Linked DNA regions of Stegostoma tigrinum. The protein of the gene in region 2 interacts with the protein of the main gene of each other region in a biochemical or structural test. Links are inferred from orthologs where the notes say so. Each region holds a gene or a part of one and is shown on either strand. Other genes may lie near its edges.

Evidence for each region.
Region 1: of the proteins of mark3a (region 2) and kinase suppressor of Ras 1-like, one has a biochemical effect on the other in vitro, tested with the Homo sapiens proteins (2 studies listed by BioGRID). The link is inferred for Stegostoma tigrinum from reciprocal best matches to the Homo sapiens genes MARK3 and KSR1.

What each region holds. Positions count from the first base shown.
Region 1 is NC_081380.1:37,782,726-37,790,988, forward strand, and holds the start of kinase suppressor of Ras 1-like, read right to left. Parts: upstream 3,183-8,263; 5' UTR 2,901-3,182; coding exon 2,652-2,900; intron 1,647-2,651; exon of another isoform or gene 1,350-1,646; intron 1-1,349.
Region 2 is NC_081363.1:40,014,340-40,022,131, forward strand, and holds the start of mark3a (MAP/microtubule affinity-regulating kinase 3a), read left to right. Parts: upstream 1-4,576; 5' UTR 4,577-5,330; coding exon 5,331-5,381; intron 5,382-7,792. UniProt on the Homo sapiens protein: Serine/threonine-protein kinase. Involved in the specific phosphorylation of microtubule-associated proteins for MAP2 and MAP4. Phosphorylates the microtubule-associated protein MAPT/TAU. Phosphorylates CDC25C on 'Ser-216'.

The sequences.
Region 1 (8,263 bases), on a different chromosome or scaffold from region 2:
TGCTTCCACCCCATAAAAATGTAATACTGTCCTCAATTACATGGGTGGACTATGACTGATTAGCTCTGAAATTACACAGCAATTTAATAGCTAATGCATATAACTCCATAATTGAACATAAAGTCGTCCTCTGCTTTGTGACATGCTGAAATCTGGGTTTGTTTAAAGTACACCCGCTACAATTCCTTCCAAAATATGTGAAATCTGTTATACAAGGCTTGCACAAATGATCAAATATGCATATTGAAAAACAAAGAAAATCTGAGGATTGGTTATGAGAATATACAAAACTCAAGGAGCCCATCCAATTACATTCTCTGCTCAATACAGCATTTAGTAGGCAAATTCCATACAATGCAGGCCAAACTTATACTAAAAAGTTAGATAAATGTAATACAGTAGGCAAGGCATCACAATCCTTCTCAACTAAACACAGGCAATGTAATCTAATGCCTTGGCCGGCCGCCCCCCACCCAACGTTGCAACCATTCCCAGCACGTCACCGACATTCCTCTATCACCGAGGCATGACCAGAAGTACTTTCGTGAAGAACTAGATCAAATATATTTATATTTTTAAAAAACCATTTGGAACTGAATTACTACATTTCAACTGCTTTTCGGATCACGTCAATGGCAAAGGAGAGTCTTTTCGAGGTTGTGGCATATACTTATCACGTTGTAACTAGAACGAGGGGGAGTTGTTCTGCTCTATTTTTAGAAACAGCCGCAACACACAACTGTGGAGACTAGTTATTACTTCATTCCCCAATAATGCAGAAAGGGTTTTCATACTGCTGCCACCCAGTACCCACAAAACAAAGCATGTCCGCCAGAGAACATCTATTATCCAGAGAAATGGCTAACACTGGTGTGAGATCTTGGTCAGTAGTCAACTGGAAAACACGTTAGATTACAACATCAAAAAAATCCTTGAACACCCTAAAGAAAATTCCCGAGAACCTCGGAACATGGCCCGTCTTTCTTCCTTGCTGCCACCCCGCCAAAAAAACCTGATCTTCATTGAAAATACAACTGCTTACAACTGGCACCCGAGTGCTGCAGTGTTGCGACGGTACATTTCGGGAGAAGTAGGTTATGCTGATCTCATCCTTGCACTGTAGTCAGCGTCTGATCAACATGGGCCTAGGGGCCGGCACCCAATCTTCGAAAACATAAAATTTAACAGCCTTCCGAACGCCTGGCAGAAAATTCACCATTATATTCCTAGCATGTCTGCTGAAACTTAGAGTCCTGCCGCCTTTTTTTTGTTAAAAAAAAAGACCCAAAGGCACACTACTATTTGGACAGGTTTAAACATTTCCAAAGCGAGTTATAACAGCGGCTTACCGGGAACACTCATCAAAACCAAACTGCTGACACGATTGTTACAAGGCGACACATTGACATATATAGATCCACACAGTTAGACAGACAATCTCGGTGGAGTATCTGTGAATCCTCACGACCCAGGCACAAGTAAAGTCAGTTGTGCAGTGAAAGCTGCTAAAAGATCTCTCTGCTCACCTACATGTGTTGTTTTGGGGATTAAGGGTTAACGTCAGCTGTTGGTCTCAGTTGAAAACATCCAACCAAGACTGTGAATAACACAATTAAACGGCTAACCGTGAGTAAACTCCAAATTAACACACGTAACATTTTAAAATTAAGACCTCCTGCCACCAGACAAGTTTTGTGTAGTTTTCCACGCACAGAAAGCATCACGACAATACAAAATTATACACGACTTGGTTAACCGCTCACAATCAAAAATAATTGCTGCAATTTGCCAAACGGGAAAAAAATTCAAAGTCCGGATATAAAGGGCGAGGATTTTAATTCAACAACCTTGGGACAATTTTTATCTTAACGGATATTATTGCAACGCATTTGATTTCATTCTCAATAGCAGCAACTGGTCGAGGTCAGATAAAAATGATAACAAGGTGTGGAACTGGAGGAACACAGCAGCCATGCAGCTTCAGAGGAGCAGGAAACGTCTGGACCCGAAACGTCAGCTTTCCCGCACCTCTGATGCTGCTTGGCCTGTTGTGTTCCTCCAGCTCCACACCTTTTTATCTCAGACTCCAGCATCGGCAATTCTTACTATCTCGGAGGTCAGATAAAAGACCGGTATGGAAGGTCTGGAGGGATATGGGTCAAATGCTGGCAAACGGGGTTAGGTCCGTTTGGAAGCTCTGTTCGGTATAAACGAGTTGGACCGAAAGGTCTGTTTCCGTGCTGTACAACTCTATGACTCTACACACCTAATCAACAATGCAGACAGTGTGCTCCAGTCATGGTTGTACACAGTTCTGTGCTCTAGGACTCTGCATAATACATGCAGGTGCAAAATATCTGGATTACGACTAATAAGTAAATCCTTCATAAGCACCCATTTTCTGAATTCATTAGAAAAACAGACGGTACTGCTTTAAATCTAAAAGTCTGAGTCTCAGAAGCTTCATCTTTCCCCCATCTGCAGCCCCTGCACGGGGGTGGAGGGTGTCTGACAGTTTTCCACCCTCTGTTCTCACTTGCCCCAGTTTGCATGTGCATCAGACTTCTCCTCGTTTGTTTATATTTCTTTCCAAAGGCGGGATGTTCGTCCCCACCCCACCAAAAAAAAGAGCACAAGGGATGCAGTTTTACCTCCAGCATCCGAATCTCCTGTTGTGTCAAGTCGTTGGAAGCGGAACATTTGGTCCTGAGCCCCTCCAGGCTGGAGATGCTGATGTCGATCATGTCCTGGTTCAGGTCGCACTGCTGTAGGGCCTTCTCCAAACTCAGCTCCCCTTCGTCCTCCTCCTCGTCCTCCTCCTCTTCCTCACTCCCCTCTTCCTCAGCAACCGTAGCTTTCTTTATCTTATTGCTGTGACCCTTGCTGTTCTCTTCAGCCATTCCTAAACATTCGGCCTGGTTATATTTGTCTTCCCCCCTTTCCCCCCTTCCCGAACCCTAATTTCAGTACAACCGCCACCACACAAAAAAAAGTTTTCCTCACACAGAAAACATGAAAACTGCAGAAAATATAGATCTATTGAAATGATTAAGCTGAACTAAACACGTGCAAAAGTAAAAATGCAGCTGTCAAGTTAGTAAGTGTCCCTCTCCTGTGTGACAGCAGCCCATCTGAAGCTCCAGACGCCGCTTAATACTATGGATCAGCTTCGTTTATTTTCTTCTCCTCTTCCCCTTCGGCGGTGTGGGGGGAGGGGGCCGTGAGCGGTTGCTATGGGACTACGCGCTCTGCCTTCTGGGATTTGTTGTCAATTTCCACGGCAGAGCCCACAAGACAGGGAGGAAACCGACTACAATTCCCGGGGTGCAGCACCTCTCGCTCTGCCTTCTGGGATTTGTAGTCACGCCCCGAGGCTGAAGAAATCCAACTACAATTCCCGCCAGGCGCCATGCCTCCCTCATCCTCCCCACAAACCCCATAACAGACTCTCCTTAAAGCTCAATAAACGGCATAAACATGCTGCATACAGCTTTTCTAATCCAAGTTAACTGATCGCGACTCGTTCCCGTACTCGCAGATTTCCTTGCTATCACTGGTGTCCCCTTGCTTTCCTGAATCCCAAGACTTGTTGATCTAGTTGGACACCCTTTTCAAAAATGTTCTTGACATTCATAGTGTGGCAATTGCTAAACAATGCTGCGGTACCCGTAAATAATCACAAGTCTAACAGAAGTTCTCCCTGTATTTGAAAAGTAAACCACAAACCTTCACGAACAAGATTTTCGTCTGTCAGACATATGATCACAAGTCTCCACAGCACCTGTCAACCACTCAAAATCTCAAAGTGAAATATCCTGCAAGAATAAAACATAATAGATTACTTATTACTTATGCTGCAACACCTGAATAATTTCAGTGGCCAATTCCAATTATTATACGAGCATAGCGCTGACCTTAGATGTTCAAAATGTTAACAATTCAATTATGATGCATGACTTTCAGGATTGTGATATTCCTGGAAATATATCAGGCTCTTTATTGACATATCAATTCACAACACAAAAGTGCCAAATTGGCAAGTCAACCAGTCCATGTTAATGTTCATTTTCCATGTGAACAATCGTTCTATTTCCATGTTTTATATTCTTTTTCCTTCAATCTGCTATCTAACCTGGTTTTAAATGTTGACAAGGGTCTGAATTTCCCTATCCCAAATCAGGACAGAACAAAGGCAAGATGATAAAAAGATGGTGTTGGCAGCCTCCGTGTTTATCTACCAACTCCACTACCCAATTCTGGTGCCTTTCCTGAGGACAGTGGCTGGGGACATTGGGAAAGAGAGAAGGTGATGGAAAGGAAAATGAATAAAGAACAAAGAACAGTACAGCACAAGAACAAGCCCTTCACCCACCAAGACTGCACCAACACTTAATGCCTTTCTAAATTAAAAACCTTTTGCCTCAATGCAGTCCACATTCCTCTATTCCTTGCCTATTCATATATGTGGCAAGATGCTTCTTAAATGTTGCTATTGTATCTGCCTCCACCACCTCCTCTGGCAGAGCATTCCAGGCACTTATCACCCTCTGTGTAAAAAAACATGCTTCCCACATCTTCTTTAAATTTTACCTTCTTTTACCTTAAGTCAAGACCTGTGGTAATTGACATTTCTAGTCTGGGAAAAAAAAATCCGACTACACATTCTATCTATGCCTCTTGGAATTTTGTAAGCTTCCATCAGGTCACCCCACATCCTTTGATGTTCAAGTAAAATCAAACCAAGTTTGTCCAATCTCTCCTCATAGCTAATACCCTCCAAATAATGCAACATCCTGGTAAACTGTCTCTGTTGCCCCTCCAAGCCTTCACATCTTCCATATCGTGTGGCAATAAGAATAGTGTGAAAATTCCAAAGATGGCCTAAACAAGTTCTATACAGCTGCAACAATTTTCATACTCTATGCCCTGACTGATGAAGGAAAGCATGCCATACACCTTCTTACCATGTTGCCCGCTTGTTTTGCCACTTTCAGGGAACTGTGAACCCGTATAGCTAGATCCCACTGTATGTTGATGCTACTAAGGGCTCTGCCGTTTACTGTATACCTCCATCCTGCTTTAGATCTTCCAAAACGTATCACCTTCCATTCCTCAAGATTAAACTTGACCTGCCATTTCTGCACCCACGTCTCCTGCCTATCTATATCCTGATATGATCTCTGGCAATCCTCCTCACTATCCAATGCTCCCCCAATCTTTGTGTCACCCATAAACTTACTAATCAAGCCACCTACATTCTTCTACAAATCATTTACATATGTTACAAACAACAGGGGTCCCAGCACTGATCCTTGCAGAACATCACTAGTCACAGATCTCCAGTCAGAAGCCTTCCACACTACTCTCTGTCTTCTAAGGCTAAGCCAGTTCTGTATTAATCTTACCAACTCACTAGGATCCCATAAAACTTCACCTCTTCTACCTGTCTGCTATTAGAGAGCTCGTCAAAGAGCTTGCTAAGTCCACATGGACAACATGAATCATCCTGCCCTCACCAATCATTGAATAAGGCCAATTTTTTTCAAATCTGAGTAAATGCTTCTTAAATATAAGAACAAAGTTGGCTATTCTCCAGTCCTCTGGGACCTCTCCTGTGACTAAAGAGGATACAAAGATTTCAAGACCTCAGCAATTTCCTCATTTGTCTCCCTCAGCATCCTTAGGTAGATCCCTTCCGGTTCTGGGGACTTGTCTACCTTAACGCTTTTTGAAAGACCCAACACCTCTTGCTTATTTATATAAACTTGTCCTAGTTTATCAACATATCTCTCCAAAGACTCACCACTCACCATATCCTTGTACTTTGTGAATACATTGCAAAATATTCTTGAAGGAACTCACCCTCTTCCTCTGGCTCCTTGCTTAAATTCTCTCCTTTGTCCTTGAGTGGACCTTCCCTTTCCCTAGCTAACCTCCTAACTTTTATATATGTACTTCAAAAACCACAACATCCCCCCCGCAGTGATCGAGAACGCCCTCGACTTTGTCTCCCGCATTTCCCGCAACTCATCCCTCACACCCCATCCCCACAATAACCGCCAAAGGAGAATCTCCCTCATCCTCACATACCACCCCACCAACCTCTGGATACAACGCATCATCCTCCGACACTTCCACCATCTACAATCCAACCCCACCACCAAAAACATTTTTCCATCCCCACCCTTGTCTGCTTTCCGGAGGGATCACTCTCTCCAAGACTCCCTTGTCTGCTCCACACTCCCCTCCAACCCCAACACACCTGTCATTTTCCCCTGCAACCACAGGAAGTGCTACACCTGCCCCCACACCACCTCCCTCACCCCCATCCCAGGCCCCAAGAAGACTTTCCACATCAAGCAGATGTTCAACTGCACATCTGCCAATGTGGGTCACTGCATCCGCGGTACCCGTTGTGGCTACATCTACATTGGGGAAACCAAGCGGAGGCTTGGGGTCCACTTTGCAGAACACCTACGCTAGGTTTGCAATAAACAACTGCACCTCCCAGTCGTGAACCATTTCAATTCCCCCTCCCATTCCTTGGATGACATATCCATCCTGGGCCTCCTGCACTGCCACAACGATGCCACCTGTAGGTTGCAGGAACAGCAGCTCATATTCCTCTTGGGAACCCTGCAACCCAATGGTATCAATGTGGATTTCACAAGCTTCAAAATCTCCCCTTCCCCCACTGCATCCCAAAACCAGCCCAGCTCATCGCTGCCTCCCTAACCTGTTCTTCCTCTCACCTATTCCCTCCTCCCACCTCAAGCTGCACCTCTATTTCCTTCATTCTCTCCTCATCCCGCCCCCTTGACCTGTCTGTCCTCCCCAGATTGACCTATCCCCTCCCTACCTCCCCACCCACACTCACCTTTACTGGCTCTATCCCTGCCCCTTTGGCTTGTCTGTCTCCTCTCCACCTATCTTCTCCTCTAACCATCTTCGATCCGCCTCCCCCTCTCTGTCTATTTATTTCAGAACCCTCTCCCCATCCCCCTTTTCTGATGAAGGGTCTAGGTCCGAAACATCAGCTTTTGTGCTCCTAAGATGCTAATTGGCCGGCTGTGTTCATCCAGCTCCACACTTTGTTATCTTGGATTCTCCAGCATCTGCAGTTCCCATTATCTCTTTGATTTTCCTTAATCATGTTTGCCAAAGTCATATCATGGCCCCTTTTAGCCGTCCTTATTTAAGCTATTTCCTGCTGTCTTTGTATTTTTGGAGAGGTCTGTCTGCCTTCAGTTTCCGAAACATTACATATGTCTCCTTTGTCACTAAGCTCTCAATTTCTCTTGTCATCCAAGGTTCCCAAATCTTGCAATTCGCTTTCACAGGAACATGCTGTTCCTGACCTCTAATCAATTGGCCTTTAAAAGATTCCCAAATGCCAGATGTTTTTTACCCTCAAACAGTTGCCCCCAGTCTACATTTCCCAGTTCCTCCCTAATGTCGTGGTAGGTAGCTATCCCCCAGCTTAGTATATTCACCAAAGAATACCCTTGTCCTTATCCTTAAATAACTTAAAATTAACAGAATTATGGTTACTGTTCCCAAAATGCCCCACCTCCACCCCATTGAAACTTTAATAACCTGCCTAGGCTTATTCCCCAATACCTAGTCCAGTATGGCCCCTCCCCAGTTGGACTTTTACATATAGTTTCAAAAAAGTATCTTGGACACACCTAACAAATTCTCCCCCATCCAAGCTCCTGCTTTTCAGCAAGACCCAGTCAGTATAGGAGAACTTAAAATCATCCAACACAACAATCCTATTGTTTTCATAGTATTCCATAATCTGTCACATATCTGTTCCTCTAACACCCGCTGGCTGTTGGGAGGCCTGTAGTACAATCCCATTGAAATTATTGTACACTTCCTATTCCTGAGCTCTATCCATATCGCTGGATGTGCCCTCCAAGGTGCTGTCCCTCAGTACAGCTGTGATATTCTCCTTAATTAGAATCCTTACCTCGTTTACATCTCTCAATCTTGCCTAGAACATCTAAATCCCAGAACATTAAGCTGCTAGTCTTATCCATCCCTCAACCATGTTATTGTAATAGTCATAACATCATAGTTATATGTATTAATCCAAGCTCTAAGTTCATCTGCCTTATCTGTCATACTCATTGCATTAAAACGAATACACCTCAGACCACCAGCCCCACGGTATTCAGAAACCTCTCAATATCTGTTCTTCCTCTTAGCCTTACCAGCCTTCGTCTCAGACTCCTCCTCAGTCATTTTATTTGCTGAC
Region 2 (7,792 bases):
CTACAAGCAAGATGGTCTTCACCTGAACCAGAGGGGTACCGATATCCTGGGGGGGAAATTTGCTAAGGCTATTCAGGTGGGTTTAAACTAATTCAGCAGGGGGATGGGAACCAAGATTGTAGTTTAAGTATAGAAAAGGTTGAGAGTAGGGTGGTCCGAAATAAAGTTTCAGGGAAGCAAGATGGCACCAGCAGGCAAGAAGTTAGTTTGAAGTGTGTCTACTTCAATGCCAGGAGCGTCCGGAATAAGGTGGGTGATCTTGCAGCATGGCTTGGTATCTGGGACTTCGATGTTGTGGCCATTTCGGAGACATGGATAGAGCAGGGACAGGAATGGTTGTTGCAGGTTCCGGGATTTAGATGTTTCAGTAAGAACAGAGAAGATGGTAAAAGGGGTGGAGGTGTGGCATTGTTGGTCAAGGACAGTATTACAGTTGCAGAAAGGATGTTTGGGGACTCGTCAACTGAGGTAGTATGGGCTGAGGTTAGAAACAGGAAAGGAGAGGTCACCCTGTTGGGAGTTTTCTAATGGCCTCCGAATAGTTCCAGCGATGTAGAGGAAAGGATAGCAAAGATGATTCTGGATAGGAGTGAGAGAGACAGGGTAGTTGTCATGGGGGACTTCAACTTTCCAAATATTGACTGGGAACACTATAGTTCGAGTACTACAGATGGGTCAGTTTTTGTCCAGTGTGTGCAGGAGGGCTTCCTGACATAGTATGTAGATAGGCCAACAAGGGGCAAAGCCACGTTAGATTTGATACTGGGTAATGAGCCTGGCCAGGTGTTAGATTTGGAAGTAGATGAGCACTTTGGTGATAGCGATCACAATTCTGTTATGTTTACTTTAGTGATGAAAAGGGATAGGTGTATACCAATGGGCAAGAGTTATAGCTGGGGGAAAGGCAATTACGATGAGATTAGGCAAGATTTAGGGAGCATAGGATGGGGAAGGAAACTGCAGGGGATGGGCACATTAGAAATGTGGAGCTTATTCAAGGAAAAGCTCCTGTGTGTCCTAGATAAGTATGTACCTGTCAGGCAGGGAGGAAGCTGTAGAGCGCGGGAGCCGTGGTTTACGAAAGAGTTGGAATCTCTGGTCAAGAGGAAGAAGGCGGCTTATGTTAGGATGAGATGTGAAGGCTCAGTTAGGGTGCTTGAGGGCTACGAGGTAGCCAGGAAAGACCTAAAGAGAGAGTTCAGAAGAGCCAGGAGGAGACATGAGAAGTTGTTGGCTGATAGGATTAGGGTAAACCCTAAGGCTTTCTATAGGTATTTAAGGAATAAAAGAATGACTAAAGTAAGATTAGGCCCAATCAAGGATAGTAGTGGTAAGTTGTGTGTGGAGTCAGAGGAGATAGGGGAAGCGCTAAATGAATATTTTTCAACAGTATTCACTCTAGAAAACGACAATGTTGTCGAGGAGAATACTGAGATACAGGCTACTAGACTAGGTGGGATTGAGGTTCACAAGGAAGAGGTATTAGAAATCCTTCAGAGGGTGAAGATAGATAAGTCCCCTGGGCCAGATGTGATTTATCCTAGGATCCTCTGGGAGGCCAGGGAGGAGATTGCTGAGCCTTTGGCATTGATCTTTAACTCGTCATTGTCTACAGGAATAGTGCCAGACGACTGGAGGATAGCAAATGTGGTTCCCCTGTTCAAGAAGGGGAGTAGAGACAACCCTGGTAATTATAGACCAGTGAGCCTTACCTCAGTTGTTGGTAAAGTGTTGGAAAAGGTTATAAGGGATAGGATTTATAATCATCTAGAAAAGAATAAATTGATTAGGGATAGTCAGCACAGTTTTGTGAAGGGAAGGTCGTGCCTCACAAACCTGATTGAGTTCTTTGAGAAGTGACCAAACAGGTAGATGAGAGTAAACCGGTTGATGTGGTGTATATGGATTTCAGCAAGGCGTTCGATAAGGTTCCCCACAATAGGCTATTGTACAAAATGCGGAGGAATAGAATTGTGGGAGATATAGCAGTTTGGATCGGAAATTGGCTTGCTGAAAGAAGACAGAGGGTGGTAGTTGATGGGAGATGTTCATCCTGGAGACCAGTTGCTAGTGGTGTACCGCAAGGGTCGGTGTTGGGTCCACTGCTGTTTGTCATTTTTATAAATGACCTAGATGAGGGCGTAGAAGGATGGGTTAGTAAATTTGCAGACGATACTAAGGTCGGTGGAGTTGTGGATAGTGATGAAGGATGCTGTAGCTTGCAGAGAGACATAGATAAGCTGCAGAGCTGGGCTGAGAGGTGGCAAATGGAGTTTAATGCAGACAAGTGTGAGGTGATGCACTTTGGGAGGAGTAATCGGAAGGCAAAGTACTGGGCTAATGGTAAGATTCTTAGTAGTGTAGATGAGCAAAGAGATCTCGGTGTCCATGTACACAGATCCTTGAAAGTTGCCACCCAGGTTGACAGGGCTGTTAAGAAGGCATACAGTGTTTTAGCTTTTATTAATAGAGGGATCGAGTTCCGGAACCAAGAGGTTATGGTGAAGCTGTACAAAACTCTGGTGCGGCCGCACTTGGAGTATTGTGTACAGTTCTGGTCACCGCATTATAAGAAGGATGTGGAAGCTTTGGAAAGGGTGCAGAGGAGATTTACCAGGATGTTGCCTGGTATGGAGGGAAGGTCTTATGAGGAAAGGCTGAGGGAGTTGAGGCTGTTTTCGTTAGAGAGAAGGTTGAGGGGTGACTTAATTGAAACATAAAATAATCAGAGGGTTAGATAGGGTGGATAGGGAGAGCCTTTTTCCTAGGATGGTGACGGCGAGCACGAGGGGGTATAGCTTTAAATTGAGGGGTGAAAGATATAGGACAGATGTCAGAGGTGGTTTCTTTACTCAGAGAGTAGTTAGGGAATGGAACGCTTTGCCTGCAACGGTAGTAGATTCGCCAACTTTAGGTACATTTAAGTCGTCGTTGGATAAGCATATGGACGTACATGGAATAGTGCAGGTTAGATGGGCTTGAGATCGGTATGACAGGTCGGCACAACATCGAGGGCCGAAGGGCCTGTACTGTGCTGTAATGTTCTATGTTCTATATGACCCAGCAATGACGAAAGAATAGTCATACCAAGACAAATCAGGAAACTAAATCTAAGCACAGTGAACGACATAGCCAAAATAATGGAGTGAAATCTGAAAAAGACAAGCTCAAAATATAAGAGATAACAAGGTGTAGAGCTCGATGAACACAGCAGGCCAAGCAGCATCAGAGGAGCAGGAAGACTGATGTTTCGGGCCTAGACCCTTTTTCGAGCTCAAAATATACATTGTTCTGATCAGAGTACACCATGAATAATTTCTGGCCACCCTGTCAACAAGGCAGACATGCAGATACTGCTGCTTTTGTCATCTCAGATCCAGTCTGCTGCTCCCTTAACATCTTTGCATTCTCTACTGTCTAGAAACTTGCGCACATCCAAAGCATTCCTGTCATTTTCCTATCCTATTCCATGTATCATTCACCCAGCACCCCTATCCTTGACAGCTACAATACCGCTCAACACCTTAAATATAAATTTGTTATTCTCATACTTAAATCTCTTTGTGGCCTCAACTTGCATCATCTTCATAGCCCTATAACCTCCCCCTAAACACACACTTGACTCTGATCCCTTTCCTTCCTTCACTACTGATAGTCAATTTCCAAGTTTTATTTTATTCTCCACGAACTCTGTTCCTGTTCTTTGAAAAAGATGTGGATAATTCCTTCTAAAATCCCTTTCCTCATCTCTCTGTCCACTTCTTGCTGATTCAGTTTTTGTGAAGCACTTCGATCAAGACTTTAATAAACGTTATCATTGTGGAATGTAATACAAGAACCATGCGACAGAGGAATCAGGCATGCACAGCAACTAGAGAAATATGAACTGTTAGAAAGGCATCATTTCAGAGGTGACCTAGATATTCGAACGAAACTTTAAACCAAAAATAGTGACAATGAGCTGATCTGGTCCGATTCCGGGAGTTTGATTTTGCTTTAAATAAGTTGCCTGTTCGCGAACGTTCTACTCAGAATGCAACAGAACTGGTGAATGGATTTACAATCCGTCGCGTTTCAATTTATAAATAAAGCACACATCATGATTAAACTAAGAGGCGGAGCGAAGAACACGCCTATTAAAGATGATCCCTGTGGTGGGGCAATAGGAGAGGAAAGGTAACCAGGTTTGAAAGAGTTTCACGAACAGCCGCATTCCTATATAATTAGGCTCCTCAATGAACAGTTTATTTCAGCGAATCAATGAGTCGACCTAATCTAATAATAAGTTGTTAAGAGTGTGGCCTTGGGCTCAGGCCAAAGGAAGGATGTTTCCGTCTCAATTACTGAATGGAAGGGATTCTTTGAGCCAGGGCGTCGAACTTGTCTAACAGTATGAGCCTTCCCTGACGCACTGCGGCCCCGGCCTTTCCCTCAGACTCCAGGCCAAGGCCCGCCCTCCACCCTCCTGTCCAGCCTCCTCCCTCTTTTAGCCGGCCCCGGACCTGGCCCTCACCTGTCCTCCCTCCTCACAGTCCGCCTCCAGCCGCCCCTTTCCGCTCCCGGCAGCCGGTGGGCAGGAGGCGGCGGCTGACGCGTTTCCTGCCGCAGCCCTGGGCTTGGCGAGCCGTCGGAGCCGGGGCGGCCATTTTCAGCCGGACACCCCCCTTCTCCTCCTCCTCTCCACCCACTCCCCTCCCCAAATCTTCCCTTACCCCACCCTCCCTTCTTCACCTACCTACCTCCAACCCGGCGGCCTCTGACCTCCTGCACTCCCCTCCCCTCCGTGTGCTCTCCATGTTAGAGGCTGAGGAGCGGCGTCTGAAACGTCCTGTCTCTCCCGTCTGGAGCCGGGAAGCTGTGCGGCGGCGCCGGCGGCGCTATCTGCTGTGGCAGCTGAAGCCGGGCCTTGTTATTTGAGGCTGAAGGAAGCGAGTGGTGGGACTGCAGCAGCAGCTGCTCGCTTCTTCTTATTATTCTCCTCCTCTTCCTCTGGGGCTGGGGTGAAACCTGGCAGTCGAGTGTTTAACAGCTCCGCAATCGACAGCGCTTGGAAACCACTGGGTTTGAGTGTCTAGATTTTTGTTTTGGGGCGGGAGGTGAGGAGGGAAAAAGATGTGGACGCACCGAAAGGATATTCAGCTTTACTAGGCGTGTGTTTGGTAAACGGCTGCTGGATGTCACCGGGTACAGTCGGTCGGGCCGACTTCAGCTGAAGCCCAACGCCTCTGAACATTTCGCTCTCATGTCCTGTTGAACCGAGTCTTCTGCAATTATTTGGGCAACGGTGCTAAATTGAAACCAGGAGGGGCAATTGTTAAAAAAGAAACAAAATGTCTACTCGAACGCCATTACCTACGGTGAATGAACGTGAAACAGAGCATGTAAGTCATCTTTATTGGGTTACAAGACACCCCGGAAAAGGGAGCACGGGCTTATTGTACACCCACCGTATTTGTTTGAAGGACTAAGTGTCCAACTTGGATCATGGTTTGGAAACGAATTGCTAGTGAACTGGAATAAATGTTGAGTTGGGTTCTTTTGTAAAGCTTCTCTGCAAATTTTGGGTGTTTACTGTTAAGTAGTTAGCATGTCCTGATGCTTGGCTTTTTATATTTAGTCTTGCTGTGCGCCTATACTGCTTCCTTTTTTCATCTCAGTCCGTGTCAACACGGCGTGAGGAAGCCGACAGATGTCGGGACACATCACGGAGGTGTTGGATTTGACCGAATTGGTTTTCAAGTGAGCCGCTAGGTCATGTTTTTGGAATTGACCGTCCGAAAAACAAGTATATTTAAAAATTGGTCCCATCGTTATCTTGTTAAGAATGTATTGTATTTGAGGGCCGTTCAAAGGTTGAGCTAAGCGTTTAAAGCCCCACAGTTACTAGCTTTAATCTTTTAAGACGTTTAGCATGCCTCTTGCAAGATCAGAAGGTGTCATGAATTGTACGCTTTGTGTATCGCCTTAGAGAATTAAAAATGATCGCATCATTACGCAGCTGGAATATTTTAAACAAATTCTGCTAATGATTGAAAATATACTTAGGATTATGGGGTGCATTAAATATGTTGGTTCTGAAGATAGCATAAAACCTGTATAACAGTTATTAAAATGTTGTATTATCACCATGAGCTGAATTTGCTATAATATGTTTGTAATTCCTTTTCAATTGTGAACATGTCCAGGAAAGCTGATTTATAGATATTGTCCTTTTAAATGTATCTGCAGGGCACTGAGGTGTGTAATAGAAGAAATTCTGATGTCTGTAATCTCATTCCAAAAATCCAAAGTGCTCTGAGCAACGAAGCTCACTTGTGAGCATTTTTGAAATATACCCACTTAGTTTTGTGACAGCCAGTTTGCGTGCAGCAAGGGGACCTGGTGAGTTTGTTGTGGAACTAATCTTGTCCAGGACCTTTGGAGGTTCTGAAGAGTGGGGTCAGTCGCTGAACCTCTGAGGTAAGATGCAGTTGAGTGAGGTTATATTCCATCTCTAGTAGTGGCAGCAATAATTAGAGTTGATGCACTTGCTGATGTTAGTCTTATGTCTTTTAAAGACAATTACTTTAGCTTCATTTGTAATGGGAGAGAAATTGGGATTTTGCAAGAAGTTTGTCTTGTTCTGGACAAACTCTAATGTTACATGTATGGGATATCATCACTTTCCAATATACTCTCCTTTTTTAAATATAAACTACTTGGGATGTGCTTTTTTCACAAGAACCAACCAACAGAGGTAAAAGATATTAATCTGTTTTAGTAATGGTGGCTGAGTTGCAAATCTTAGCCAGGAGATGGGAAGTTCTCCCCCTTAAACTGCTGTAAACTTACTCAGTTGCACCCAAAATAATTTGTCAGGTCTTAAAATTAATTTGGATAGTAGTTTTTAACTGTACCAGTACATTCAGTTATGTGACTCTTCTCTCTTTTGAGACAAAAGAATGTCTTGGGTTACCCAGAAACTAGCTGATTCTTGAAGTGCTGTTGAGCATGAGGCTGTGCTCACCATCACCTGGAAAATGTAGATGTGCACTCTCTCTTGATTTGTAGATTTGGCCAGTTTATGGGACAGATAGGACAAAATGGTAATGTCAATAGACTAATCCAGAGGAAAAACCAAGAACTGCAGACGGTGTAAATCAGGAACGCAAACAGAAGTTGCTGGAAAAGCTTAAGTGTGGCAGCACCTGTGGAGGAAAAAAGCTAATGTTTCGGGTCCAAGGAATGGTCACTGGAACTGAAACGTTAACTTCTTTCCTTCACAGGTGCTGCAGATCTGCTGAGCTTTTCCAGCAACTTCTGTTTTTATGTAATAATCCAGAGGCCCCAGCTAATGACTCGTGATGCTGGTGGAATTTAGAATTTATTAGCATTTGAAGTTGAAAGTTGTCTGTTTCAGTCATTATTACTATCATTGCACAAATCCCTTTAGTTTACTATAATAAAATGTGAGGCTGGATGAACACAGCAGGCCCAGCAGCATCTCAGGAGCACAAAAGCTGATGTTTTGGGCCTAGACCCTTCATCAGAGGGGGATGGGGGGAGGGTTCTGGAATAAACAGGGAGAGAGGGGGAGGCGGACCGAAGGTGGCGAGGGGATAGGTCAGTCCAGGGAAGACAGACAGGTCAAGGAGGTGGGATGAGGTTAGTAGGTAGGAGATGGAGGTGTGGCTTGGGGTGGGAGGAAGGGATGGGTGAGAGGAAGAACAGGTTAGGGAGGCAGACAGGTTGGACTGGTTTTGGGATGCAGTGGGGGGGGGAGGGGACGAACTGGGCTGGTTTTGGGATGTGG